Macaca mulatta: one gene and its partners. The protein of the gene in region 1 binds, or shares a complex with, the protein of each later gene. Links are inferred from orthologs where the notes say so. Each region holds a gene or a part of one and is shown in the gene's direction. Other genes may lie near its edges. The genes, in order: E2F1, CCNF and RB1.

Region 1 (9,465 bases):
CAGCCAGGTCTCTTCTGGCCTCACTTCTGGTTACTGGGCATCCTCCCATTGTTTTCGCCACAGGTGAAGCGGAGGCTGGACCTGGAAACTGACCATCAGTACCTGGCGGAGAGCAGTGGGCCAGCTCGGGGCAGAGGCCGCCATCCAGGAAAAGGTAACTATGAAGCTTGGGCTGGGCAGGCCCCCTGTGACCAGGCCCAGGTTAGGGGTGTGAACAGACAAACAAGTTTGCAAGCTAACATCTGGCTTGTCGGGCTTGAGCCAGGCCTCTGAGGACCCTGATGGGCAGTGGGAGTGGCCACCTGGCTTGGTTTCTCCAGGCCCTGAGGGGTGAGGAGTTCCCCGGCCAGAAGAAGAATGCTGTGGTTGGCCTCGCCAAGGGGAAGGAGCTGGCTGTCCCCCAGCCCCTATCATCCTGCGGCCCTGCCCTGCCAGAGTAGCAGGCCTGGCTGGAGGTGGGGGTGGATGCTGAAGGGCCCTGTCTTGCCTGACCACACCCCCGCAGGTGTGAAATCCCCGGGGGAGAAGTCACGCTATGAGACCTCACTGAATCTGACCACCAAGCGCTTCCTGGAGCTGCTGAGCCGCTCGGCCGACGGTGTTGTCGACCTGAACTGGGCTGCTGAGGTGCTGAAAGTGCAGAAACGGCGCATCTATGACATCACCAACGTCCTCGAGGGCATCCAGCTCATTGCCAAGAAGTCCAAGAACCACATCCAGTGGCTGTAGGTACCGGCCACACAGGAGGGCAGGCACACCTGCCCATGCCAGCCTGGAGGAGCTGGTAGTAATACCCACTGTGGCTGCCTGCATCCCCATCTTACAGCTAGGGAAATGGGCTCAGAGAGGAGAGGTAGCTTCCCTGAGATGATAGATGGTAAAAAGCACACAAATGTTACATATCCACCTCACTTGTAGCTTTACTTTTTTCTTTTTTCTTTTTTTTTTTCTTTGAGAAGGAGTCTCGTTCTGTTGCCCAGGCTGGAGTGCAGTGGCGCGATCTTGGCTCACTGCAAGCTCCGCCTCCCAGGTTCACGCCATCCTCCTGGCTCAGCCTCCGGAGTAGCTGGGACTACAGGTGCCCGCCACCACGCCTGGCTAATTTTTTGTATTTTTTTAGTAGAGACGGGGTTTCACCGTGTTAGCCAGGATGGTCTCGATCTCCTGACCTTGTGATCTGCCGATCTCGGCCTCCCAAAGTGCTGGGATTACAGGCTTGAGCCACCGCGCCCGGCCTCTACTTTTTTCTTTTTAGATGAAGTTTCACTCTGTCACCCAGGCTGGAGTGCAGTGGTGCGATCTCAGCTCACTAAGATCACCTGAACCTCCACCTCCCAGGTTCAGGTGATTTTCCTGCCTCAGCCTCCCTAGTAGCTGGGGATCCAGGCGCCTGCCACCACGCCCAACTAATTTTTGTATTTTGTAGTAGAGATGGGTTTCACCACGTTGGCCAGTCTGGTCTCGAACTCCTGATCTCAGATGATCTGCCTGCCTCAACCTCCCAAAGTGCTGGGATTACAGGCGTGAGCCACCACGCCTGGCGCAGCTTTACATATTTATTCATCTGGGTTGCCACCATTCAGATCAAGATAGGAGCATTTTCAACACCCTAGAAGGTTCTCTTGTGCCCCTTTCCAGTCATTGCCAAGCCTTCATACCGCCAGGTCACCACTATCCTGGTTCTCATGCCCTCATGAGGTCTGTCTGGCATAGATGTTTTATTTTATTTATTTATTTTTTTTGAGACTGAGTCTGGCTCTTTCGCCCAGGCTGGAGTGCAGTGGCCGGATCTCAGCTCACTGCAAGCTCCGCCTTCCCGGGTTTACGCCATTCTCCTGCCTCAGCCTCCGGAGTAGCTGGGACCACAGGCGCCCGCCACCTCGCCCGGCTAGTTTTTTGTATTTTTTAGTAGAGACGGGGTTTCACCGTGTTAGCCAGGATGGTCTCGATCTCCTGACCTTGTGATCCGCCCGTCTCAGCCTCCCAAAGTGCTGGGATTACAGGCTTGAGCCACCGCGCCCGGCAGATGTTTTATTCTTTTACTTGTTTTATTTTCCCCCTCCCGCCTTCGCCCCAGTCATCCTGCTACTACCCTTTCTTTGATACAAACACCTGCCTTTTCATTTTTTGGTAGATTGTTCCATTCTGCATCTTTTGTGTTTTTTTTGGTGGGGTGGGGGTGCGGTTTGAGACAGGGTGTTGCTCTGTTGCCCAGGCTGGAGTATGGAGGCACAAATACAGTTTACTGCAGCCTCAACCTCCTGGGCTCAAGCCCTGTACCTGTAGCTAGGACTACAAGTACATGCCACCATGTCTGGCTAATTTCTTTAATTTGGTGTAGAGGCAGGGTCTCACTGTGTTGCTCAGGCTGGTCTCAAACTCCTGAGGCTCAAGCAGTCCTCTGGCCTCAGCCTCCCAAAGTGCTGGGATTATAGTTATAAGCCACCAAGCCCAGCCTTTTCTTTTTTTTCATTTGACAGCATGTCTTGGAAATGCTTGTGTGTGTGTGTAATATTTCGTGGCATGTCAGTTCCATCATTTATCCCACCCTGGTTGAGGGACATGAAGGTGTTTATATTTGGGCCAGACTTCAAGCCCATGACACTCTGATTTGGAGCCCAGCTGAGGAACCAGACCCAGAGAGAAGCAAGGGCTTGCCTGGGCCTCACAGAACAGAGGTGGCAGCAGACTCTGTCCTGAGGGCCAGGGCTCCTGGCCAGAGGGGCCAAGTGCTGCTAACCCTACCCTCCCTGGTGCCTCCCCACAGGGGTAGCCACACCACAGTGGGCGTCAGCGGGCGGCTTGAGGGGTTGACCGAGGACCTCCGGCAGCTGCAGGAGAGCGAGCAGCAGCTGGACCACCTGATGAATATCTGTACTACGCAGCTGCGCCTGCTCTCCGAGGATACTGACAGCCAGCGATATCCTTGGATTGGCCGTAGGGTGTGGAAGGCAGGCTTAGCAGGCAGGGGCTCCACCCAAGTGGGACTAGAGAGGCTTGGATTCAGGAGAGGGCTCTGGTTGTTTTGGTTGCAAGTCCTGGCTCAGCATTTTCTCACTGTTGTGACGCTGGATAAATTGCTTAACCTCTCTGGGCCTCAGTGTTATTTATAAAAGTGAAATAATAATATCCAATTCTGAAATTGTACAGATTAAAAAAGAAAAGTGGCTAGGTGCAGTGGCTCATGCCTGTAATCCTAGTGCTTCAGAAGGCTGAGGTGGGAGGATCACTTGAGCCCAGGAGTTTGAGGCTGCAGTGAGCTCTGGTTGAGCTACATCACTCCAGCCTCGGTGACATAGCGAGACCCTGCCTCTAAAAAAATGAATTCCCAGCACCAGGCCTGGAGTTGTGTTGAACATTTTACATGGAATCGTTCCCGGTAGCTATTATCATTACCTTGGGATTCAATGGGTAGAGTGATTCCATTATATAGATGTGGAACTTGAAACTCAGGAATGAGGTAGGTTTTGAACGGGTAGGAGGTTGGGAGGATAGGAGTGACTAGGCAGGTGTGAGCCCTGCCTTGTAAGCTGTTGGAGTGAGTGACCCCCTAGAAGTCAAAGGTCATGTGGTCCTTGACTCTGCCAACCCTGGCCTATGTGACGTGTCAGGACCTTCGTAGCATTGCAGACCCTGCAGAGCAGATGGTTATGGTGATCAAAGCCCCTCCCGAGACCCAGCTCCAAGCCGTGGACTCTTCGGAGGTGAGATCTGGGAACTCCAGGCCCAACTGGGCTGGGCTGGGCTGTGCTGGTAGTCACCTGGGCCTCAGTTTACCCTGCCTGCTGTTTCCACCCAGACCTTTCAGATCTCCCTTAAGAGCAAACAAGGCCCCATCGATGTTTTCCTGTGCCCTGAGGAGACCGTGGGTGGGATCAGCCCTGGGAAGACCCCGTCCCAGGAGGCCACTTCTGAGGAGGAGAACAGGGCCACTGACTCTGCCACCATAGTGTCACCACCACCATCATCTCCCCCCTCATCCCTCACCACAGATCCCAGCCAGTCTCTACTCAGCCTGGAGCAAGGTGGGTGATGGGTAGGTGGGTGGGGTGGGGCAGGGCCCCTCTTCTGGGGGTGGGCAGGCACGACAGCCCCTGCCTTCCTTCCTGCTGGGGCATCCCCGGCCTGTGATGCTCCCCGTCTCTCCAGAACCGCTGTTGTCCCGGATGGGCAGCCTGCGGGCTCCCGTGGACGAGGACCGCCTGTCCCCGCTGGTGGCGGCCGACTCGCTCCTGGAGCATGTGCGGGAGGACTTCTCCGGCCTCCTCCCTGAGGAGTTCATCAGCCTTTCCCCACCCCACGAGGCCCTCGACTACCACTTCGGCCTCGAGGAGGGCGAGGGCATCAGAGACCTCTTCGACTGTGACTTTGGGGACCTCACCCCCCTGGATTTCTGACAGGGCTTGGAGGGACCAGGGTTTCCAGAGATGCTCACCTTGTCTCTGCAGCCCTGGAGCCCCCTGTCCCTGGCCGTCCTCCCAGCCTGATTGGAAACATTTAATTTATACCCCTCTCTCCTATCTCCAGAAGCTTCTAGCTCTGGGGTCTGGCTACCGCTAGGAGGCTGAGCAAGCCAGGAAGGGAAGGAGTCTGTGTTTGTGGTGTGTATGTGCATGCAGCCTACACCCACACGTGTGTACCCGGGGTGAATGTGTGTGAGCATGTGTGTGTGCATGTACCGGGGAATGAAGGTGAACATACACCTGTGTGTGCACTGCAGACACGCCCCAGTGTGTCCACATGTGTGTGCATGAGTCCATGTGTGCGCGTGGGGGGGCTCTAACTGCACTTTCGGCCCTTTTGCTCTGGGGGTCCCACAAGGCCCAGGGCAGTGCCTGCTCCCAGAATCTGGTGCTCTGACCAGGCCAGGTGGGGAGGCTTTGGCTGGCTGGGCTTGTAGGACGGTGAGAGCACTTCTGTCTTAAAGGTTTTTTTCTGATTGAAGCTTTAATGGAGCGTTATTTATTTATCGAGGCCTCTTTGGCAAGCCTGGGGAATCAGCAAAGGGGAGGAGGGGTGTGGGGTTGATACCCCAACTCCCTCTACCCTTGAGCAAGGACAGGGGTCCCTGAGCTGTTCTGCCCCACACCGAAGGAGCTGAGGCCTAGGTGATTTATTTATTGGGAAAGTGAGGGAGGGAGACAGACTGACTGACAGCCATGGGTGGACGGATGGTGGGGTGGGGCCTCTCCAGGGGGCCAGTTCAGGGCTCCAGCTGCCCCCCAGGATGGATATGAGATGGGAGAGGTGAGTGGGGGACCTTCACTGATGTGGTGGGCAGGAGGGGTGGTGAAGGCCTCCCCCAGCCCAGACCCTGTGGTCCCTCCTGCGGTGTCTGAAGCGCCTGCCTCCCCACTGCTCTGCCCCACCCTCCAATCTGCACTTTGATTTGCTTCCTAACAGCTCTGTTCCCTCCTGCTTTGGTTTTAATAAATATTTTGATGACGTTTGGGTCGGGTTTTGGGACTCTGTTGGGAACAGTTCGGGGCGGGAGAGGCCAAGGTTGCTGGGGAAATGCCCATTCTCCGCTTCCCTTCTCTCCGTCCCTGCTCGATTTGATTTGAGTCTCAGAACTCGAAGAAAGGTCAGCTTCATCGCTATTTTGGTCCTAACTCAAAAGCCGATCCAGTAAAGGTTTTTGTGGAAAGCCAAGAATGCTACTCAGTGCTGCCCGAAGTGCAGCGTAATGAGTGGCCTCTCCTTTTCCCAGCCCCAGAGGCCACTGTGCTCAGTTTGCTGTCTTCCAGACGTTTCTGGACATTAGTAAACATGCAACAAATGACAGTGGACTGGTTCTGTGTCAGGTATTTAGCAGTTCTGGGGACACGAGTGTTACCTCCCTTCTTGGTGCTCTCAGGGTCTGAAGGAGATCTACTTAAATGAGAAAATCAGGAAGTGCTTGAGTTCAGCGCTGTAGAATAGGTAGGAGTTAACCAGAGGAAGAAAACAAGCGAACACGACGGGCAAAGGCCGTGGGCAGGAGGGAGAGGGATAGAGGACCGGAGAAAGTAGTGGCTGCGGTCCTGAGGTGAGGGTCAGAGTGGTGCTCCTGGAGCGGGGCGTTCAGTCTTAAGCTTTATTCGGGGGCCAAGGAGTCACTGGAGACCGAAGTGGTACCTCTTTCGCATCTTAAAAGCTCCCCCTGGCTGCTGTGTGGAGAACGGGTTGAAGGGAGGGCCAAAGCCACCGAGGGGAGGGGAAAGGGCCGCGCTGAGTGCCAGAGAGGGCGGGCGTCGGGATGCCTGGGAGTCGGCCACACGGACCTGTGGGCTTCCTCTGCGCCAGCCCCCGTTGTAAGCACTTGACACTGAATGAGTCCCAACAATCCCATAGGGTGTCTACCGGTACCATTTTTGCAAATGAGGATACAGACGCCCCGAAAGGTGAAGTCCTGGTGGGTTTTACCCACTCGTATCACCCTGACTCTTCGGCACTGGCTTGGTCACCCTGTCCCTCCGGGTGGGCGCGCAGCCCCTAGGTTCTGCTCCCGGCAGGCCGTCGCCGGACCGGAACCCTCGGGCACCTCCCCCTCCGCCGTGGCCGCGGAAGCGCGGAGGCCCGCGACGCTGGAGTTGGACCTTGAGGCGAGGGAACCCGGCGCTCAATCTCCAGACCCGGAACCCGGCGTCCGCGGGGGCGGGGCGGGGGCGGGGCCTGAGCCCGCGCGTCGGCGCCGGCGCCAAGGGGCGGCCCCCAGCCCCACAGAGTCCGCCGCGGCGTCCAGGGTCGGGAGCAACCGCAGCCGAGCCCCAGCGAGCGGGCGGCGTTGCCATGGCGTGCGTGGGGCTGCTCACCGTGTGCCTGCTCCGGCCGCCCGCGCCCCAGCCCCAGCCCCAGTCCCCGCCCCAGCCCCCGCGGCACCCGCAGCTCGCGCCAGACCCCGGGCCCGCCGGACACGCGCTCTTCCAGGACGTGAGTGGGCGCGGGCTGTGCTCGCGGTGTCTCCCCGCCCGAGTCTCTGTTAGTCTCACCCTCTGGGGTTGTTCGGGCCCCGCCGCTGTCTCTGGGTCTCTGCCTCTCTCTCTGGCCCTGCTGTCTGTTTTCTCTTGACCTCTCTGCCTTTGTGTCCCCTGTTCTGTCTCTCTGTCTCGTCTATGTCTCCGCTTGTCCCTGCTCCAGTGTCACTACCCCTGCTGCCCCCCACCCCTCAGCCCACCCTACTTGTGTGTCTGGTGTTGGGGGGGAGCTGTCGACAATCACAGCAGCCGTCACCCCACTCTGTAGCAGCCGCAGGCTGGGCTGACTGGGGAAGAGGAGCCTGGAAGCACAAGGGTCCCCTCACTTCTGACTCTAGTGCCGCCCCCAGAGTCCTTCAGGCCCCACTCCAGGGCAGCAGAGTCCTACAGTTGGTAAGGATTGCACAGAGTCACCCTCCCATGGGACCACGGGTGGCCCTGCAGCCCCCATGGGCACCAGCCACGGCCCTGAGCCCTTTCTCCACCTGTGCTACGCTCTGTCCTGGCCCCCTCATGCCCCAACTCCAGAGGGAGGCAAAGCTGTCTCCCGCCCCCTTCCCACTGCCCCTAGTGACTCAGCACCTTGACCACATCCCTGGCTGGAAGGGACCTGACCCTCCCTCTTCCCAGGTAGGAAAACCAAGGCCTGAGGGGATATGTCCCAGGTCAGTCATGGAGGCAGGGGAACAACAGGGTGACCCCAGGTGTCCCCATTCCCAGCTTAGCACCCCTCCCCGCTCCCAAGATCTCCATCTACCCCACCTGGGCCTCCCTGGCTTGCTGTGTGTCCCTCAGCCAGTGGCAGAGCTTCTCTGAGTTAGGCTAGAGGTTAGAGTCTTTCTGAGCCCTGCTGACGCTGAAAAAACAGGATCTTGGAGGGGGTTGGCGTTCAGGACCTGGAGTTCCTGGGGGCTCTCAGCCCAGGCTTGGCCCACCCCTGCTTGCCAGGCCTGCCAGTCTCCCCTTTGCTGGGCTGCTTTGGGTGACCTGGGAGCAGGTCACTAAGAGAGATGGGGACCTGTCTTGACTCTGCTCCTCTTTGCCTCTGTTGCTCTTCATCTTCACTTCATAAATGAAATCTGCTGACCTTGCCTTCTGCCACCCCCACTCCCCCTTGGACTTGTGTGTGTACACACACGCCTGCCAAAGGTCCTCACTGTCAGCCCCATAGGAAGCCCCAGCCCTGAAAGAGTTAACCCCAGCTGCTCCTGATCTATTTGCTAGTGGGTAACTCAGACACCTGCAGAGACAGAGTAGCCACTGCCTGCTGTCTTCAACAGCATGCAAGGAAACAACTCAGAGAGGGCAGCTGGGATAGACCATGGCCACACAGCAGAGCTCGGGGCTCAGGTCTAGGACGGCTGTGCAGGATTCCTGGGCCGCAAGCCGGCCCATTTCCTCAACCTTCCTCATGCTGGAACCGTGCCAGGGGCTGAGGTATTAGATAGAACTTGGGCTGCACTCTGGGTGTGGGAGGTGGGGACGCAGGGAACTGGCCAGGAGCACCCCCAACGAGGCCAGGCCCTGCAGGAGAAGTGAGTGGAGGTGGCACCCGCTGCGTGCTCTTCCTGCGCCCTGCTTGCCGGAAAAGCTCCTGCAGGGCTGAGCTGGGCAGGGGGTTTGGGACCAGGCTGGGCAGGAGGAAAGGCAAGGCAGGGGGTAGGCCAGCCAGCTGGGACCCTGTCGGGTTGAGTGGGGGCCTCTGGCTTCCTGGGTAGCACTCACAGTTCCCCCCATGTCCCTTTGTCCTCTAGGTTTTCCGCAGAGCAGACAAGAATGGTGAGTGTGGCTTCCCCTGGGTCCCACAGTGGGGCAGGGTGGGAAGCATCCAGAAGGCCCAGGGAGACTTGGAAGGTTGGGTGGGAAGTCAAGAGTCGAGACAAATCTTGGAGGCCCAAAACAGGAGAATCAATCAAGGCGTCCTTCCCAGAGGAGGTGCTGTTCTCAGCCAAGTTTGGCAGGATGGAGAGTGGCGGGAATGTGGTTTGGCCAGGGGCTAGAGGTAGGGGCTGACTTTCACACAGCACCCTGGCACGGTGATGGGCACTTCCTTTTCATGGCCTCCTGTTGTCCTCACAACCACCAGCTAGATTGGAATTCACCCTGTTTCATAAAGGAGCAGAGGCCTAGAGAGGTGAAGCAGGTTGCCTAAGGTCACACAGCCTTTAATTGATAGGCTTGAACTTGGGTCTTTGCAGTGTTTAGTCCCAGGCTCCTTGTGTGAGGCACTTGGAAGAGTGAGGTAATGGAGGTGAGACCTTTTTGGAGATTTTACTCAGGTTTTTAGAGGGCTCAGTAACTTGTCACGTGACCAACCATCTGGACCAGGGAGGTCTTGGAGGACGCAACTAAACCCACGCCTTGGGCAAGGATAAAGCTGGGTCCAGTGCCAAAGGAGTCGGCTCCTCCTGCCTTGGGTCCCGGGCAGTCTCAGACCCTGGTCTAGGAGAACCTTGGAAGCTAAAGCACGAGCCCTAGGGGACCCATCCAGCAACAGGCTGCTCCTCCT
Region 2 (10,036 bases), on another chromosome or scaffold:
CCTCCTACAGGTAGAGCCTGGGTCTGTGGGTAACTGGAAGTTTCAAAACCAGGTAGGCTGGGAAAGAATCAGGTGGCCAGGAGACCCGTCAGCAGCTGGTGGAGAGTCTTTGAGGAGATTCCCTCAGCTCTGCACATGAACCGCACTCTGAGCATGGGTATCAGGAGTGGCCTGATCAGGGCACCAATGCCTTCCTGTCTGCACCAGCCTTTGGCATCCCCAACCCTGTCTGAGGCCCCGCCCTCTCCACAGCATGGAGGCGTGTGAGGTCCTGTGCACCCAGCTGGCCATCATGGTGCAGGGGCAGTTCAAGTGCCTGGGCAGCCCCCAGCACCTCAAGAGCAAGTTTGGCAGCAGCTACTCCCTGCGGGCCAAAGTGCACAGCGAAAGGCAATAGGAGGCGCTGGAAGATTTCAAGGTCTTCGTGGACCTGACCTTTCCAAGTGTGTTTCAGCCCCAGCAGCCCCCACTGGGTGGGCCCTGGGCCCCTGCTTAGGCCTCTTCCATCTGCCGTAAGGAGAATCTATGCCTCACCCCTCCCATGTCCCATCTCCCCAATCCCTGGGATGAGGACTCCAGTGCCGAGCAACCACGTACCCTCTGTGATCCTCCAGCCTGGCCGTCACAGCAATGCCATCCCTCCTTCGTGCAGGCAGCATCCTCGAAGACAAGCACCAAGGCATGGTCCATGACCACCTGCTGGGCCAAGACCTCAGCTGGGCAAAGGTGAGCGCACATTTTTGACGTGACCCACTTTCTGGGGTAACTCTGTCTCTCTCTCTCCCTCTCTTTCTCTCCTCTCCATCCCCCTGAAGTCATGTTCAGCACTGCCCTTGTCCTCTGCCGTCTCCATGGCAATGTTCACGTGGTTATCATAGAACAGAAGGTGTTTCCCCTGGAAGGGACTTTGAAGATTGGCTCCTCCTGCCCCCTCATTTCACGGAGAGGACAGCAGGCCCAGAGAGGGAACACCAGATGCCTGGGGACACACAGCAAGCCAGGGACACCCACCAGGCCTCTGACCTTCTGGCTCCATTCCCACCCAAGAGCACAGACAGCTGAGATCCATAGCACTGACTTCTTGGGAGGTGTTCTGGAGCAGCTGAAAGAGGGATGGGCCTCTTTGGGGCCGTGTCACAGTCCCAGAGGCCAGCCCTTCCCGCCTTCTCTCCTCCCCTGCGTGCGTCTGTGGGACAGCCTGGCCACAGCAGCCTCCTTCCTCCCCTCAGATGTTTGGCACTCTAGAGCAAGCCAAGAAGAAGTACATGCTGGACAATTAGTCAGGTCACCATGGAGGTCATCTTCCTGAGCTTTGCCTGCCCTGTGCCCCTGGTCCAAAGTGAAGACCAATGACAGCAAGCAGAGCAAGCGGGCTCCTCATCGTGCTCGCTGCCTCCCTCCCTGCCTCCCTCTCAGCTTTTCTCTCAGCCTCCCTCCCTACCTTCCTCAGAGCCTGTCCTGCTGTAATTAAGACAGACCAGTGCCAGGTTGGCCCAGGTGTGCATGGCCTGCCCTGGGTCTCCAGGGCTTACAGAGGCAGCTCTCAGCCCAGCTAGCTCAGCACAGGGCTCTCCCCCTAACTGCAGTGCACGGAGCAGAGTGGGGCCCACTGGAGAACTTAAGAGGCCCGCTGGGGAACCCAGGTGCGTTTCCTTAGAAAGGGATGCCTGAGTCCCACCTGAGTAGCCTGTGGTCTTGTTGAGACCTGGCTGTGGAAGCAGCCTCAGAATATCTTGCACATCCTTTCCAAAGGCGGCGGCCAGGGAGTGACCACAGTAGTAACCATGACCCGACCAGGTGCCAGCTCTGTGGACGGTCCCCTGCAGGCATCATGTCATTTGATCACACCACCCTCAGGCCCGGCCTGAAGGGGACTGTCCTGGTCATCCCCTTGCTCATGGGCAAGAAGTCTGCAGGGCAGAGGGAAATGCTTACCCAAAGCTTGCGTTCTTCCTTCTCTAGAATCCCCTGCCCAGATAATTTGTCCGTCCAGTGCACTCCCTCCCAGGGCAGGCCATGCTGCCCGATGCACCCTGAGACGCGAGGTGCAGCAAAGCAGCAGCTCTGCAGAACTGCGGGTGGAGTTTGGATGGGTGCATGGGGGTTTCCACACAGATGTGCAGATCCCTTGGAAAGCAGGATAGAGCCAGAAACAGAGAGGAGGGTGCCCATAGGCCAGGGTGGGGCTGGCTCCCATGGTCACATGGAAGAGTGGAGCTTCATGGAGACCATGATTCTAAACTCACACCTGGCCTCCCAGGTGGTAATGACACTGTTCTTCTGAAGGAAGGAGGAAAGAAATATTGACAAGCTTGCTAGCCTAAGTCAGGATGTTACAACATTTAAGTATTTGGATGTGTGGGCTTTCATCCTCTTCCCCAGCTCCTGCAAATTTAGGGCTGCATGTGATCCTATATCCACCCATGAAGTGAACAGCGCCCTACCTCCCACATGGGTAGACTGACTTAGAGGCAGCCAGTAACTTCCCACATCAACAGGCAGGGGAGCCAGGGTTGCACTGGGGCAGAGGTTTTTGCAGTGGGTTCCCAGCAGCAGCAGCACCATCAGGAAACTTGTTAAAAATGTAGGTTATTGGGCCCCATCCAAAACCTACCGAATCAGAAATGCTTGGGGCAAGGCCAGCAATCCTGTTGCAACAAGCCCTATAGCAGGTGTTCTGACCTAGCTCCAGCGTGAGAACCACTGAGCAGAGGCCCCATGGGCGCCAGACCATCGCAATGTCCACATGCAGATGGATGTGGCCACATGCCTTTGTCACGTACACTCTCCTATCCTCTGAGACGGGCTCCATTCAGCGGCCTTTCTCTCTCTGTGGAGCTCACTCTGCCCCTTGCCACAGGCCCCTCAGCTCCCCTCTGAGAAGTGCAGATGCTGGTCTCTGTCTCTTCTCAGCCAGGACTCAGAAAGTATCATGCACGAGCCTTGTCTATGCTTCCTGCACCCCTTGCCCAGAACAACAGCGTCACACACCCATGGTCACCAGCCCACCTTCTTCTCAGTCTTTGTTTCAGGTGACTGCCCCCTGTGATGAAAGCCACTCCCTGGGCTCCCACATCCAGCTGTCATTTCTCCCATGCCCCTCTCTGCCTCCACTGAAGGCCCACCTTCTCTGAATGTGGGATTTCTCAGGCTCCCAAGCTACTTCACTTTCCCTTACTCTTCCCTGCCCCTCACTACCCATGTCGTTTTCAACTGACACCTCATTCCACCAGGAATTTCCCTGAGCTTCTAACAGTTTAGACTTTTCCAACAAGGTCTCACCTTCCTGAAGCCCAATGGGAAACGGGCCCACACCCTGGAGGAGCCACTCATCACCCCAGGGCAGCCAGTGCAGGGTGCGGGCCGAAAGCAGGCATGGCTGCAATCAAGACAACTCCTGCTCCCTGAAAAAGAAATTTGCCTCTCCATATTGAAAGGAGAGTGATCACTACACAAAGCACAGGATAGAGCTAAACAACAACCTAGGGACCAGGGACGCTGTTCTAGATTCTAGAGGCAGCTGGTGTGGCTAATGTGGTCATGGCCGGTTCTAGTTGATTAATCCCTTCAAGATGCTATGGAAGCTAACCCTGAAAGTGCACCTCTGCCCTAGGGGGAGACAGTGGCAAAGTAGGAAACAGTAACCCAGGAGGACAAAAGTGAGAGGAGGGGATAAGAAATCTGGGAGCTGAGAACATGAGACATCTGGGGAGCAGGACCCAAACTTGCTCAGCCTGTTCTCTCTTCACCCTCCTTCATCCGCTTCCTGATTCCAGGACAGGGAATAGTCCCAACTTCCAGGCCCTCTCTGGGGCCACGGACTCTTCTGCGCCCTGTGCTGTGATCACCTGTTTGCTCTGTCTCTTGCTCCAGGCTGGCTGTAGCCTACACACCAGGGCTCCTGTCTGTGTGCCCAGGGCAGGCCCAGTACTTGAAGGGGTTCTATGGGGACTCAGAAGGATGGAAGGGTGCAGACTGAGGGAAGCGTGAGGGAGGGGTAGGCAGCCTTGGCCCAGGCCCCTGCCTTCCCCAGGAAAAGCCCCTCTGTCCTCCACCAGACACTCAGGAGGCTGCGTGTCTTCCCCTTGACAGCCTGTGCCGTGAAAGGGGTGGGGTATGGCTGATTCCTGAAGGACAGCTCGGATGAGCTCTGCCTAAGACAGGAGTGAGCAGATGTGACAGATCGCACGGCGAGCAGCTACCAGGTAGCAGCCGAGGAGGCGAGACAGGGGGCAGCATCTGGCCAAAGTGAGGGGGAGGGCTTGCCCCGGGGCTGGGGCACTGAGGCGTCCAGGGTGCGCCACGATTCGCGGGAAGAAGGGGTCAGCGTTCCGCGGGGGAGACTTCCAGCGCCAGCTCCGACCTCCTCTTTCCCTACCACGATCCGGGCCAGCATCCCCGCCCAGCAGCGGCTCGGCCACAAACCCAAGGGTCTCCACCTGAAGCAGGCGGCGGAAAGGATGGCCGTGCAGGCTGGGGGTGAGGGTCGCGGACCCAGGACCGACCCCGGGACCCGGGCAGGGCACGGCCTCGTTCTAGAAGCGCCACGTCGGGGCTGTGCCAGGCTGGATCACGGCCGCGACTGCGAGGGACGCCAAGGAGTCCTCTTTCCCCTGGCCGCAGGCATGCGCCTTCGGAGCCCATCGGGCACCGCAGATGCCAGTCGCCGGGGTCAGCGGCGAAGCCCGGACCCATGCGGCCGGGAGAGGACGCCTAGAAACCCCTGCGCGCCGGCCGGGAGCCGCGTTCCTCCAGGACCCCAGCCCCGCTGGGGAGGCGGGGCGGCCACGCGGATTCCACCAGTCAGCGACCAATGTTCGAATTCGCGTCCTGGCGCGGCCAATGGCGGGCGCCCGGAGCAGGCAGTGTGGGCGTGGAGGGCGGTAAATAAGGCGAGCCCGGGGCGGGACGTGGGCGGGGCAGGCGGCGGCCCCCCCGGGCAGGCCAATGGGAGGGCCGGGCGCGTTTGAAAACTGGGGTGGGCGGTGGGGCGGGGTCTGCGCCTGCGCGAGGGCTCCGCGCGCGCTCCAGCCGGGGCGCGGGCGCGCTCGCAGGCGGGCTCAGGCGACAGAGACGCGAGCGCGGCGATGGGGAGCGGTGGCGGTGAGTGGGAGGCGATGCCCGCCGGTTTCTGCCCCACAGCCGTTCTGCCTGCCCTGCGGGGCAGACGGTGGGTCCCGCGGGAGGGGAGGCCCTGGCGGCCTGAGGAGGGCCGGCTCGAGCTCTTTAACCCGGGGCGGGTGTCGCGTCCGGCGCAGGGAGCCCCCGCGGCCGGGCGCGCGGTTTAAATGCCCGGCGGGCGCCCGAGCCCCTCGTCGCCTTCCCTCGGGGCGACGTTTTCCGGCCCTTTGCCGGAGCGGCGATCGGGTCTCGGACGGCGATCGGGTCCCGGGGCGGCGATCGGGTCCCGGGGAGCCAAACACCAGCGCCTCCTGGTCGGGGTTGGGGCTGCGGAGCGCGTGGGGTCGAAGCGATCCCGCGGCCCGGCCCGGCCCTGACTGGGCCTCGGTCCAGCGGGGCCGTGGACCTAGCTCTGTGGAAAGCAGCGTTCGGCCCCGCGCGCGATGAGGCACAGGAAACTCGAGCTGTAGTTTGAGCTATTATCACAGTATCTGTCCGGGAGCCGGAGAATGAGGAATATTTTATGGAGAGCTCTATAGAATCTTTGAGAGTTCGTCGCCCTGGAATACGTTTGGCTTTTGCAGCTCTTTTAATTGCTGACAGGAAGACCCGGGTCGGGAGAGGGGAGCAAGGAGCAATTGCTAGGAAGTCCTGGTGGGGAGGGATTTGGGCCCACAGAGGGGAGTGGCGTTTCCTTTCAGGACTGGAAGAATGGATAGAAAGGTAGATTTGTAGATGGGGAGGCAGGATCCTGAGGTTCCTGTCTGAGGGCTTCTGTTTCTCTATGAAATAAGGGCTAAGGTCATCTGCTTAGAGTGAGGAAGGGGTTGCTGGAGTAGGAGTTAGAAAAGCCGGCTGTGGGAAGAGGAGAGAGCACATCTGAGAAGCATGGCTGGGCTGCCTGCCTGGTGGGTGGAGAGCCCGTCTCACCTTTAACGATTGCACCTGTAGACAGACCTACAGGTCTAGGTTTGTGTTGGGACCTGAGCAACAACCTTGCTGCGTAGCTGTCAACTCTGCATTCTACAGTGGAGGGCACACTGAGACTCTGCAGAGCTGACTTGGACGCACACTACCCCGGCCTCCAAGCCTGTGGCTTCTCTCCAGGGCTGACCCTTCTAATTTGGATTGAAAACCAGACTCTACAAGCCCACAGATCCTTATTGAACATTATGCACCTTGGTCATGTGTGCAAAAAGCAAAGATGTCCAGCAAAGGCCCCAGGGGTTTTCCTAAGAGTGAAATGGAAGGAAAACGGTCATCAGCCTCAGCAGCTTTTTCCCCTTCCTGACTGTCATGTGGGCTCTGGATCAGAAAGTTTCCCAATAGCCAAGTTACATGATATGCGCTATTTGCCATAAATATTTGTTGAATATTTGAAAATGAATGATCTCTTCTGTAATTTGTGCAATGCCACTCCTTTTACATAATCTTTGTTTGGGACAGGAAGCATAGTTCCGTTTTTGTGGCACAGGGAATCGTAACCATTAGATCATTTTCAGGTGTAACTTTTATCCTTTTTTTTTTCCCTTCAAGGGTATGTATATAGAATAATTTTTCGTCTTATCAACACTTCTGTCTTTTTTTCCTTCAGTGGTTCACTGTAGGTGTGCCAAGTGTTTCTGTTATCCTACAAAGCGAAGAATAAGGAGGAGGCCCCGAAACCTGACCATCTTGAGTCTCCCTGAAGATGTGCTCTTTCACATCCTGAAATGGCTTTCTGTAGAGGACATCCTGGCTGTCCGAGCTGTAAGTCCCTGGATGAAAACAGCATGAGCCCTAGCACTGTTACCATCAAGGCCTTGTGTTCTTAACTGTCAGAACAAAACTTTGACTAAAAAGGAGGTCACGGGCAGAGGCCGGGCACGGTGGCTCACACCTGTAATCCCAGCACTTTGAAAGGCCAAGGGGGGGGGGTGGATCACCTGAGGTCAGGAGTTCGAGACCAGCCTGGCCAACTTGGCGAAATCTGTCTCTACTAAAAATACAAAAATTAGGCGTGGTGTCTCATGCCTGTGATCCCAGCTACTAGAGAGGCTGAGGCAGGAAAATGGCTTGAACCATTTTCAAGGTTGAAGCAGTGAGCCAAGATCTCACCACTGCACTCCAGTCTCCAGCCTGGGCAACAGAGCAAGACTCTGTCTCAAAAAAAAAAAAAAAAAAGGGGGCAAAAGGAAACAAGGATGATATCATTACCATTACCATATGCTTTCTTTAAGACATTCTGATTACAGAAATTTCCATTCCTGTCTCCCAGCACACTAAAGTTGCCTCTGTTCATTACAGTGTCAACAGAAAAGTACCTTTTTTTTTCTCTGAGACAGAGTCTCGCTCTGCCGCCCAGGCTGGAGTGTGGTGGCGCAATCTCCACTCACTGCAAGCTCCGCCTCCCGGGTTCATGCCATTCTCCTGCCTCAGCCTCCCGAGTAACTGAGACTACAGGCGCCCGCCGCCACACCCGGCTAATTTTTTGTATTTTTAATAGAGTCAGGGTTTCACCATGTTAGCCAGGATGGTCTCAATCTCCTGACCTTGTGATCCGCCCACCTCGGCCTTCCAAAGTGCTGGGATTACAGGCGTAAACCACCATATCCGGCCAAAAGTACCCTTTTATGGCAGTGAAATTTGCATCCCTTAAAAGATAGTGTTTAAAAGAATAAGAAGGCCAGGCGCGGTGGCTCAAGCCTGTAATCCCAGCACTTTGGGAGGCCGAGACGGGTGGATCACAAGGTCAGGAGATCGAGACCATCCTGGCTAACACCGTGAAACCCCGTCTCTACTAAAAATACAAAAAACTAGCCGGGCGAGGTGGCGGGCGCCTGTAGTCCCAGCTACTCCGGAGGCTGAGGCAGGAGAATGGCCTAAACCCGGGAGGCGGAGCTTGCAGTGAGCTGAGATCCGGCCACTGCACTCCAGCCCGGGCTACAGAGCAAGACTCCGTCTCAAAAAAAAAAAAAAAAAAAAAAGAATAAGAATATATTCTTGAGGACAAATCCCATGTAACATTTAACACTTAAATGAACTCTAGGAGTTATTTTCTAGATATTGGAACCATAGGCTTACTTTGAGTGACTTAACCTAGAGTATACAGTGGATTCATGGGAAAATACCAGCAACAACCCATTTTCTGACTCCCAAAGTCACCTCCATTGCAGGTGTGACGCACTTTATGGACCCCAGGGAGTTCTGAATTTCCAGTGGCAGTGGAAACTTTGGTGCTTAAAATGCTCAACTGTGCTCCAGGTCCTGGCCTGGACACTTCCTGCGCTGGCCCAGCGCAGAGGTTCCAGGTTCTACCTGAGACCTCCATCACGGGTGGTGTTCTTTGCCCTGAGTCCCTGTGACCTGTTTCCACACTCCCACTAGCAAGGCCTCCAGTGGGGAAGCAGAAAACACATTTCCGTCCTGCCTGCCCCCGTTTAGAGTGTTTCCCCTGTCTTTGGGGGTGACACCTTTGCAGGGATGTGGAACCGTCTTTCTCAGCCTAGGTGTTTGTTTCCTCCTTCCAAGATCATTGTCCTCTGCCCTGCTTTAGAACCTCAGAGAAACTCGTTTCTGGGCTGTTTTATCTGTTCAAAGCGACAGTTACTTTCACACAGAGATTGGGGACCTCGACTACTTGGGATGGGGAGGGAGACAGGAGACCCTACATCTGTGTCTTGTCCTTAAGAACCTCCAGGCGTGGAGCCTTCGGGTGGTCCCTCCATGACCCAGCCCCGGCCCCTGTTGTTCTGCAGGTACACTCCCAGCTGAAGGACCTGGTGGACAACCACGCCAGTGTGTGGGCATGTGCCAGCTTCCAGGAGCTGTGGCCGTCTCCAGGGAACCTGAAGCTCTTTGAAAGGTATCTCTGCACCCTGAGAATGGCTCGGTCTTCTCCTGTCTTGGCCTCCCTATGTGCCAGTCTGTGTCTCACGGCCTGATTCAGTAATGATTTTCCTGTTGCTATCTCCCATGACATTGCCTCATCCCCTGGGGAGTGACTGAGGGGAGGGTGGCAGACCTCACGCATCAAGCCGCACAAGCCACACGCCTTCCAGCAGGCCGTGCAGTCAGTCATCCCTCACGCCACTGATCCATTCCCACATGACCCAGACATGAGTCCTCTTCCTGTGGAAACTTCACTCAGCCTTCCTTCCCTTTGGTCAAAACCATGTGATTTCTATCCTATAATGTTTCACTCACTGGCTGATCCCACCCCAACCTGCACCCCACACCCTGGCCTCCTGTCCACGTGTGCTCATGGTCCCAGGTACCAGCTGCCCTCAAAACAAACCAAGGAACCACAGTTCGGCAGGGATTTTTCTTTTTTGTTTGTTTGTTTTTTGTTTTGTTTTTTGTTTTTGTTTTTTTCTTGAGACGGAGTCTCGCTCTGTCACCAGACTGGAGTGCAGTGGTACGATCTCGGCTCACTGCAACCACCGACTCCCTGGTTCAAGCGATTCTCCTGTTTCAGCCTCCCGAGTAGCTAGGACTACAGTCACGCGCTACCATGCCCAGCTAATTTTTGTATTTTTAGTAGAGATGGGGTTTCGCCATGTTGGCCAGGATGGTGTCGATCTCCTGATCTCGTGATCTCAGGCGGGGATTTTCTGACAGGGATTCACTGTGGTCCTTGTCCACTTGAGTTGCCAGAACTCCAGATAGACAGCCAACAAGGGCAGGCAGCCGTGTTGCCGGGGCCATGCTTGGGCTGCTTCCAGGGGAAATGTATATATTTCTTATTGAGACATGATCCACACATCACACAGTTCACCCATTTAAAGTGTAGAACTCAGCCGGGTGTGGTGTCACACCTGTATTCCCAGCACTTTGGGAGGCCAAGGCGGGTGGGTCACTTGAGGTCGGGAGTTTGAGACCAGCCTGGCCGACATGGCAAAACCCTGTCTCTATTAAAAATACAAAAATTAGCTGG
Region 3 (9,936 bases), on another chromosome or scaffold:
AAAAAAAAAAAAAGGCTCTTCCTGGGGATTAAATAAGATAATTATGTAAGGTGGCCAGCACAGTTCCTGGTACACAGTAAATGTCAGGCCTGCCTGACAAACTTCTATTCAACAGCTACTGCTCCCCTGAAAATCTTCCTTAGACTTTTCCACGGTGCTTGCCGTTTTTACACCACTATCATCTTTTATTACACTACTATCCGTTCATTCCCCACAGCTCCCTCCCTTCCTTTCCCTAACCAGTGATCCCCCAAAAGGCCAGCAACTGTCTAACATTTTGTATCTTCTAGTGACTGGTAAAGTTCAGCATCTACTAGCGCTCCAAGTTTCTTTTTGTTTTGGCCGAGTTTGCAAAACGGATTAAGCGGGATGAGAGGGCGGGCGCCGCCCAGAGAAGGAGAGCGGCGCGCCCGCCGAGGGTGCACTAGCCAGATACTACCTGCGGGGCCCGAGCGTCTTCCCTATCAGACCCCGGGATAGGGATACGGCCCACAGTCACCCGCCAGACTCTTTGTATAGCCCAGTTAAGGGCAGCTCGGCTTGGAGGGGGTGGTTCCGGGTAGAAACACGTCCGGGCTGCGCCGGATGCTTCTGGGAAGGCTCCTGGACCCACGCCAGGTTTCCCAGTTTATCCCTTCCCATCTAGCGTCCCAGCCCGCGCACCGACCAGCGCCCCAGTTCCCCACAAACGCCGGCGGGCCCGGGAGCCTCGCGGACGTGACGCCGCGGGCGGAAGTGACGTTTTCCCGCGGTTGGACGCGGCGCTCAGTTGCCGGGCGGGGGACTGCGCGTCCGGTTTTTCTCAGGGGACGTTGAAATTATTTTTGTAACGGGAGTCAGGAGAGGACGGGGCGTGCCCCGACGTGCGCGCGCTGCGCCCTCCCCGGCTCTCCTCCACAGCTCGCTGGCTCCCGCCTCGGTAAGGCGTCATGCCGCCCAAAACCCCCCGAAAAACGGCCGCCGCCGCCGCCGCCGCTGCCGCGGAACCCCCGGCACCGCCGCCGCCACCCCCTCCTGAGGAGGACCCAGAGCAGGACAGCGGTCCGGAGGACCTGCCTCTGGTCAGGTGAGCGAGCAGAGCCGCCGCCGCCTCACGCGGGAAGGGCGCCCCGTGTGCGTAGGGCTGGCGCCAAGGCTGCTCGGCGGGACGCGTCCTCGCCGGGGGCCGAGTCCCGGCGTGAGGAGACGCCCTCCCTGCCCCCCGCCACCGCGGAGCGTCTGCAGAATGGTGACAGGATTTTGGGGTTGCGGGCGAGGGGTCTTGGCTTTAACTTGACACGTGTCGGGCGGGTGGGTCTAGGGTCCTGAACGAAGTGACAGGTGCAGTTCCCTCTTGTGAGGCTCAGAGGCAGAGGGTCGTTGCGAGCGTCCATCAGACGCAAAAAAATGAAAAATAAAAATACAAAAATGGTGTCTGTGGGAGAGTTCTTCACCGGTTGAGAACTGGAGTACTCCGGTGGTCGTCTGACTTTCAGTTTTGGTCTCACGCGATGCAACAGTTGGGAAGTATTTTCTTCTGGGCGTGCACTGCATCTGAACTCCATTCGTGGGAGAGGCCAACCAGAAAGCCTTGGACAAGAAGCACAGGGTCCTGAGTGTCCATTGCCTGCAGGATACTCGGCTCAGGAGCCTTGCGGCTTCTCCTTAGAACAATAATGCATCGAGGCCTTGGGGACTCAAAGCCATCTGTAGTGATTGATGGAATGTAACTCTTTAGAGGAACTGATACATGGGCAGAACTTTCGTGAGACGTTTACCAGAAGTGCTTGAAAGTTTCTAAACTTTTTTTTTTCTGTTGGATGAACTCTTCTTGCGTGTTAGTCGGCCTCAGCTTGTCTCATTATTACTTCCATTTTGCCTTTTGACTTTGAACCAGCAACGATCCTGGTGTCCCGTCTTTTTGCCTTTGTTTTTGGCACAAAATTAGTGGTTCTGTGCTCAAATGGAAATTTTCGTTTTCCCTTATTAAATGGAATCTAAATTTAAGCAAGTCCATGCGAATGCACTAGAACTTGAAGGGAAGTATTTATTGTATTGCATCATCTTACTTTTCTTGATTGTACTACTTTATGGTTAAATAGCTATGACTGAAAGAGTGTAATTGTCATTATTATTGTCAGCACTGGTTCTACTTTGAGATTACAAGTTCATTGCAGGGGGAATGGGACTTGTTTCTGTTTTTCACTATTTTCTCCCCTATTCTTGCCCATCACCAAATCCTTTCACCCTCACCCATTTCTTTCCACTCGGCAGACACTAACAGAATTAACGGCAGAAAAGATTGAAGTGGGATTTAGGAAATGGCCCGTGGAAGGCTATTAAAAATTTATATATTTAAATGGACTGTCTTATAGGTCAGTTAAAAACCATATTTGTTAAAAAACCAAAACAACAACAACAACAAAAAAATTAAAAACCACGTCTGGGGCATGTTCTGGGAAAAGACATGACTTTAGTTTCTGATTAAATTCTGATGTATCCAATTCTTGCAAATTTCCCTTTGGAAAATGCAGTAATGGCTACTCTAAAGAATTCCATGTTATGCACACAGCTTTAGAAGCATACTCTAATGTAGGGTAACCAGGAATATTGACGTTCTGACCACTGCTTGGAAAAAAGAGGACTGTTTCTTTCATTTTTTAACTCATTATTTTATATATTTTAAGTAATGGAACTATAAAAAAATTCTCTTATAAGTCAGATCCATACAAGATACAGTCTGTTCTTGATTATCCTTACCCACAAAGGGTTTCATTAACATAGACAATTGAACTCTATAAATTAACCAGCAAGGGTAGAACCACTGCCGTGCAGTCTGATGCTGAGCATCTTGCCTGGAGATGGAATCAGGGCTCAGTCCAACTGCACTTCCAGTGACAGATTCCATTCCTAATTTGAGAGTTGAGATCTTATTTCTGTTGCCTTATCTCTGGCCTAAGTAATGTAGCTGGAAGGGAAAGTGTCACTAGGAACAGCATACAACATTCATTGTTGAAATAATCAAAGGTTAATCATGTTTCGAGCTGGGCATGACGGCATGTACCTGTAGTCCATGCTACTCAGGAGGCTGAGGCAGGAGGATTGCTTGAGCTTGGGAGTTGGAGGCCAGCCTGGGCAACAAAGCAAGACCCCAGTCTTTAAAAAAACAAACAAAAAAGTTGACCAGGCATGTTGGCTCACGCCTGTAATGCCAGCACTTTGGGAGGCTAAGGTGGGAAGATCGCTTGAGGCCAGGAGTTTGAGAGGAGCCTGGGCAGCAAAACAAGACACTGTCTCTACAAAAAAATTTAAAAAAAAATTATCCAGTCGCTGTGGCACGCCTGTAAGCACATCTACTTAGGAGGCTGAGGTGGGAGGATCCCTTGAGCCCAGGAGTTTGAGGCTGCAGTCAGCCATGATTTCACCACTGCACCCCAGCCTGGATGACAGAGTGAAACCCTATTTCAAAACAAGAAAAAAAAAAAACAACGAATTATGTTTTGAAGGAGGAATTGGCAATCTAGAATAGTGGTCAAGGGCATGGATTATAGAGTTAGATTGTTAGGCTCACATGGTGGTTTACCTCTTACCGGCTGAGACCTCAGGTAAGTTCTTTAACTTCTCTGATTTGACACACATCTGTAAATGTCTACTTTTACAGATGAGAATACTTATCTAAAAGGGCTGATGTCAGGATTCAGTGAAACCATATGTTTAAGGTACTTTCTACAGGATCATAGTAAATACTCAAGAATTATGAATTATTCTTCGTACTATTCTTATTATTAGATGTCACATAGAAATTAGATGAATGAAAAGGAATTAGCCAACAAGAATTTATTGAATGCTTGTCTTTGTTAAGGAGAAAGGACAAAAATAAGCAGTCACATCATGTAAGATGTGCTAGTAGGGAGGTTATGTGAAACATTGATAAGAGTAGACTACAGCTTAACAAAGTTACTGGTGTTGAATTGTATAATATTATCTATGGGTTTTTATCTTCTTGTTATCTTTGTCCTATTTTCCCAAACAGCTTTAGCTGTTACATTTATTTTCCTTCACAGAAGTGTTTTGCTGCTCTGAAGTATATTTGACTTACCATGCAAGCAAATATTTTTCACTGTGTGGTATCCTTGTTTTGGAATGACCATGAAAAAGATAATCATGTTTAAATTTGAAGTGTAATTTTTTCTATGATAAAATAAGATCTTAAAGTATTTAATAATGTTCTCTTTCACAGTAGTGTTATGTGCAAACTATTGAAACAAGTGTGTACTGAATCAATTTGACTTATAAGTATATGCCAATTATATGATTATTTTCATTTGGTAGGCTTGAGTTTGAAGAAACCGAAGAACCTGATTTTACTGCGTTATGTCAGAAATTAAAGATACCAGATCATGTCAGAGAGAGAGCTTGGTTAACTTGGGAGAAAGTTTCATCTGTGGATGGAGTATTGGTAAGGATTTTCTTAAAATGTTTTGAAATTTTTTTTTCTCATTTTAAAAACAACTTCACATCACTATATAAAAATTGAAAGATAGAAGAATATAAAGACAATAAAAGCTAATAATAATTTCACTACCCAGAGGAAATTTACCTCTGCTAACATTAAACATGTTTGAGGCTGGGCACGGTGGCTCACGCCTGTAATCCTAGCACTGTGGGAGGCCGAGGCAGGCAGATTGCCTGAGCTCAGGAGTTTGAGACCAGCCTGGGCAACATGGTGAAACCCTGTCTCTACTAAAATACAAAAAAAAAATTAGCAGGGTGTGGTGGTGTGCGCCTGTCGTCCCAGCTATTTGGGAGGCTGAGGCAGGAGAATTGCTTGAACCCAGGAGGTGGAGGTTACAGTGAGCGGAGATTGTGCCACTGTACTCCAGCCTGGCAACAGAGCGAGACTCCGTCTCAAAAAAAAAAAAAAAAAGTTTGAAAAAAATCCCTCCATATATGCCTCCCACCAAACTATTTTAAAGCAGGTCTTAGTTATATTTTATTCACTATAATACAAGGACTTTTAAAAAAACACTGCCATACCTTATAAAATAATTTTTATACCTTCTAATATGCAATCAGTGTTCAGATTTCCTGATTGACTCAGAATTAGTTTTGTTAGAATTCAGGATCTTGAAAATATTTTGATATATTCCTTTCATGTTTTTCTTTGCATATGTATAAATGTATATGTTTAATAAAAGCAAATAATTACTAGAGTTTTATATGTACTGGGGCAATAGTATAAGAACTTTACATAGCCGGGCATGGTGGCGTGTGCCTGTAGTCCCAGCTACTTGGGAGGCTGAGGTGGGAGGATCATTTGAACCTGGGACGCGGAGGTTACAGTAAGCCAAGATCGCACCACTGCACTCCAGCCTGGGCAACAGAAGAAGACCCTGTTGCAAAATAAATAAATAAGTAAATAAACAAACAAACAAAAATAAGGCTGGGCGTGGTGGCTCAAACCTGTAATCCCAGCACTTTTCGAGGCTGAGGTGGGTGAGGTCAGGAGTTGAACTCTTGAGGTCAGGAGTTGAAGACCAGCCTGGCCAACATGGTGAAACCCCATCTCTACTAAAAATAAAAAAATTAGCCAGGCATAGTGGCAGATGCCTGTAATCCCAGCTACTTGGGAGGGTGAGGCAGGAGAATCGCTTGAACCCAGGAGGCAGAGCTTGCAGTGAGCTGTGATCATGCCACTGCACTCCAGACTGGGCAACAGAGAAGACTCCATCTCAAAAAAAAAAACACACACACACAAAACAATCAACTTTACAAATCTACAAATAACTCGTTTAAAAACCATTGAGATATGAAATATAAAATCTTTATTTTTACAGATGAAGACACCGAGTAGAGTGAGGTTGAGTAACTTGACCAAGGTCCCTAGGAAATAAGATCTCAAATATAAATTTGAGATTATACATGTAGTTATGTATAGTTACATGTAGTTACACATAGTTTTGCATTTTCCTGTTTTTTTCTCATATGAGCATTTTCTTACGTTATTAAATTTTTTTGTAATATAGTTTCTAGTGATAGTATAATATTTTAGCTATTGGATATATTTTAATTTGTTAACTCTTACTGGATATTTGGGTTTTTTCCAACGTTTTGATGCTATAAAATAATGTAATAAACATTTGTATTCGTAAGACTAATGCCTGGCACAAAGTGAGTCCTTGATAATTTGTTAAATAAATTAATGAATGAATCTCTGATTATTTTATTAGAATAAATTCGTATAAGATGAATTACTAAATCAAAAGCTATGAACATTTTTATGACTCTTGATGATTATTGGTAGATTACACTTCGGACAGATACTTTTAATGAATTTACTTTCTCAAAATAGTAGTATAAAAGTATATATGTTTTTACTGATCTGATTAACACAACAGAATGTGTTTATGTATGTCCCATAAGAAAAGTGTTTAAAACCATTAAATAAAATCTCTGGCAGTAAAAAGGAGAAAACAAGTGTCATAATTTCCAAAGAATTGAACATAGTCTCACATTTCTTATCTAAAAAGAAAGGAATACTGAAGTATCTTGAATGTATGACTTGGGTATTATAATCCCCAGGCATCTAGTGTATATTTTAACTGACTTGGGTACTTCATGTACAAAGCTGTTTTTGTGCATATACAATTAAATGGAATCAGAGCTCCTTCACTTTTCTCTTCCTAAAATACTAGATTTTTGGTGTTCTGAAATTTTGGGATAGCTGATTATAGAGAGTATTAGTGAGTATACATACTGTAGTTTTCAATTTATAAGTGCATTGTGTTCCAAATCTGTTTGTAAGTTTGATATAGTAGTTAGGTTTCCAGCCTAGTTCACATAACTTATTTTTTTTGTACTAAACTATAAAAATAATAGTTTTAACAGTAGAGGCTCTTTTGAGCTTCAGAATTGAATACATATTTAAGCAAATATTACTGCTTTATTACCCTTTTTTCATCCTGGCTTTGTCTCTACCTTCCCTGGGAACTGGCCCAATTTAAATCTTATTTCCTAATGGAGCTCATGATGGGGACTAGGATGTGTGAAATTATTTATGGCTAGGTACTGGAGGAAGGTAAGAAAGGAATTTCTTGTTACTTTTGGGATTTGAGGTATGCTTTTGAAGGGTATAACAGAAGATGATGTCCTGTTGTTGTGTTATAAATCAACAGACTTTTCCTTGAAATATGATTTTAAGTGACAGTTAAGTTTTTGAGGGTTGGCCTGAGAATTTAATGTTCATTTATATAATAATATCTAAGGGAGAATGTGATAGAGTGTGTTCTAAGAGGCACATGTAATGACAGAATGAATATGTTTCCAATGCAGCTATTCTAGTGGCAGTTGTCTGTCTTCTTTGAAACAAGAGGAGGAATATTGTCAAAAAAGGAAGCCCCTTTTTAACAATAGAAAGTAGGTGATGTTTATTGGGATAGAGGATGGGTTAAGAGCAAGGATTAGGAGTCAAACAGATATACCATGTCCTAACTCCATTACCCTGAACATGTTATCTACAATTCTCAAGCCTTAGTTTTCTTATCTGTAAAAGGGACTGACAATAATTTCTGGATCTTGGAGTTATTGTGCAGATTAAATAAATTAATGCATATAAAGCTCTTATTAGAGTCAATGAGTGTGTATATTAGGTCTTGGAAACAGAATAATTTTACTTAAGAAATACCCCAGAAAATTTTATCATTAATGTAATTTTTTTGGAGAATTTAGGATATCAGTATAAAATGGTTATAATTTTAAATGCATTGTTGTGATTTTGATGCAGTATGTTTGTTAAAACTCTTATTTTTAAGTACTTTAGAGTCAGAAAAGTTGTTTATGCATACATGAAAGCATGTATTAATCCCTTTAAAGTTTGTGGTATTTTGTCTAGAAAAATGTTTTTTTTTAAAATAAATATTTAGTGAAGTGTAATAATAAAGATTAACTTTGTTCATAAGGTTAGATTGTGTTCATGCTGCTTATAGCATGTGAATAGGACTTTCCATTAAGAAATTGGCTAAGGTGCTGTTCATATTGTGACTTAAGGTGAATCAGCTGTTAGAATTTTGGTGTACTTTCTGCATCTTCATTGGCAGTGTGGTAGAATGGAAAATGCCTTGGACCTCAAGGCAGAAAACTTTGGTTGTAATTATATTGTAGCTATATGATTTTAGGCAAATTGGTTAATTCTGTGAGTCTCAGTTTGCTAACCTGTAAGGCAGAAATAATGCCTGAATATGAACCTCATAGGCTTTTTGTTATACATACGTATATATGTATATGAAATATATGGGTATACACATATCTCAAAGAGCTTTGGGATATATTGCCCTTGATAGAGCCACTTATTTTTGTGATATGGTGGTTATATTTTAAATAAATACAGTCATGTGTTGTTTAACAATGGGGACACATCTGAGAAATGTGTCATTAGGTGATTTCATTGTTGTGTGAACATCATAGCATGTACTTACACAAACCTGGATGGTATGGCCTATGACACACCTACGTTGTGTGGTATATAGCCTGTTGCTCCTAGTCTGCAAACGTGTACAGCATGTTACTGTACTGAACATTGTAGGCAATTGTAACACAATGGTAAGTATTTGTGTATCTATACATAGAAAAGGTAAAGTAGGTCATCCATATCCTTACTGATTTTCATTCTGTGTATTTTACTAATTATTGAGGGAGAAATATGAAGCTTCCAACTATAATTAGAATGGCCTTTTTAAATTCTGTTTTTTATTAATGTATTTTTTATTTTATTTTATTTTGAGAGAGTCTTGCTCTGTCACCCCGGCTGGAGTGTGTGGCACGATCTTGGCTCACTGCAACCTCCGCCTTCCGGGTTCAAGCGATTCTCCTGCCTCAGCCTCCTGAGTACCTGGGATTATAGGCATATGCCACCATACCCGGCTAATTTTTGTATTTTTAGTAGAGACGGGGTTTCACTGTGTTGGTCAGGCTGGTCTTGAACTCCTGACCTCGTGATCTGCCCTCCTCGGCCTCCCAAAGTGCTGGCATTACAGGCATGAGCCACCACACCTGGCCTTTATTAGTGTATTTTAAAGCTTTATTCTTGGGTGCATACAAGTTTAGAATTTTTATGCCTTCTAGGTAAATTGGTACCTTTATCATTATGCAGTGTGCTTTTTTATCCAAATTTGTATCTTTTGTTCTGCAGTGTCCACATATCCATTCCACTTTTCTTGTGATCACTGTTTACATTATATATCTTTTACCTTCATTTTGATTTTAACCTGTTTATTTTTTATATTTAAATGGATTTTTGTTGTTTTGTAATCAGCATTCATTAAAAATTTTTAGCTGAATACTTTTTACTTTTGTTAGGGTTCCCTGTGTCTCTTCCTTTCATGCTGTGCCACAGATGAGCCATTATTTATATCTTTTCTCTCACTGGAGGTTCCTTTTTTTAGGGGAAACTAATCTGAAATATAAGCAAAGGATATGTTGATATCAAGAAAGGTTATGTTTTTATTCCTTATCTGGCTTGTTCTTGTTGTGAGGGTGGGAGCAATACTCTGCAGCTTTCTGCATTCTAGGAAGAAGTGGAATTTTACATTACCATTTGCTTCCTTTACAGGTTTGCCCTGATATTGTCTATCCATAGGACTAATTAAAACTATGCCAGACTCCTATTTTAAACCTATCCATTCAGTCTCAAGTTATCTTTTTGCATTGCCTCTCACATCTGTCCCTTCCTTTCTCTTACCAGCAGTGCTTGTTTTTTACTGTTTGCTTTGGTTTTAGTTTCCTTTTTATTTTTTTAATTTCAGAAGGTGGAAGCTTATGTCATTGACTTGGGCATTTTTAAATGCATGTTTTAGTGCCTCTTTCTGACTAGTCTCTTGTTTTCTCCATCTCATCCATCCTGTGCCTGAGTTTTAGAAAAGACTGGTTTACAGTTTGCCCCTTTTGCTTTAAAATTTATTT

The links.
Region 2: the proteins of E2F1 (region 1) and CCNF are in contact, whole or in part, in a cryo-EM structure (PDB 9CB3), measured with the Homo sapiens proteins. The link is inferred for Macaca mulatta from reciprocal best matches to the Homo sapiens genes E2F1 and CCNF. Residues at the interface, in NP_005216.1 of Homo sapiens: Gly84, Arg85, Pro87, Val88, Lys89, Arg90, Arg91, Leu92, Asp93, Leu94, Glu95, Thr96; in NP_001752.2 of Homo sapiens: Met309, Ile312, Leu313, Asp315, Trp316, Glu319, Val320, Met323, Arg349, Leu352, Gln353, Trp379, Leu380, Thr381, Asp382, Thr384, Asp504, Tyr505, Val508, Leu510, Thr511.
Region 3: the proteins of E2F1 (region 1) and RB1 are in contact, whole or in part, in a crystal structure (PDB 2AZE), measured with the Homo sapiens proteins. The link is inferred for Macaca mulatta from reciprocal best matches to the Homo sapiens genes E2F1 and RB1. Residues at the interface, in NP_005216.1 of Homo sapiens: Ala267, Pro268, Pro269, Glu270, Thr271, Gln272, Leu273, Gln274, Ala275, Val276, Asp277, Ser279, Glu280, Asn281, Phe282; in NP_000312.2 of Homo sapiens: Ser829, Arg830, Ile831, Leu832, Val833, Ser834, Ile835, Phe845, Ile848, Met851, Val852, Asn854, Ser855, Arg857, Val858, Leu859.

What each region holds. Positions count from the first base shown.
Region 1 is NC_133415.1:86,443,928-86,453,392, reverse strand, and holds the end of E2F1 (transcription factor E2F1), read left to right. Parts: intron 1-63; coding exon 64-154; intron 155-505; coding exon 506-725; intron 726-2,767; coding exon 2,768-2,920; intron 2,921-3,589; coding exon 3,590-3,704; intron 3,705-3,799; coding exon 3,800-4,025; intron 4,026-4,149; coding exon 4,150-4,397; 3' UTR 4,398-5,450; downstream 5,451-9,465. Other genes in the region: NECAB3 (N-terminal EF-hand calcium-binding protein 3), read left to right, coding at 6,772-6,912, 8,711-8,735. UniProt on the Homo sapiens protein: Transcription activator that binds DNA cooperatively with DP proteins through the E2 recognition site, 5'-TTTC[CG]CGC-3' found in the promoter region of a number of genes whose products are involved in cell cycle regulation or in DNA replication.
Region 2 is NC_133425.1:3,657,285-3,667,320, forward strand, and holds the start of CCNF (cyclin-F), read left to right. Parts: upstream 1-5,056; 5' UTR 5,057-5,087; coding exon of another isoform or gene 5,088-5,103; exon of another isoform or gene 5,104-5,170; intron 5,171-6,715; coding exon of another isoform or gene 6,716-6,870; intron 6,871-8,858; coding exon of another isoform or gene 8,859-8,965; intron 8,966-10,036. UniProt on the Homo sapiens protein: Substrate recognition component of a SCF (SKP1-CUL1-F-box protein) E3 ubiquitin-protein ligase complex which mediates the ubiquitination and subsequent proteasomal degradation of target proteins.
Region 3 is NC_133422.1:27,492,886-27,502,821, forward strand, and holds the start of RB1 (retinoblastoma-associated protein), read left to right. Parts: upstream 1-786; 5' UTR 787-929; coding exon 930-1,066; intron 1,067-4,311; coding exon 4,312-4,438; intron 4,439-9,936. UniProt on the Homo sapiens protein: Tumor suppressor that is a key regulator of the G1/S transition of the cell cycle. The hypophosphorylated form binds transcription regulators of the E2F family, preventing transcription of E2F-responsive genes.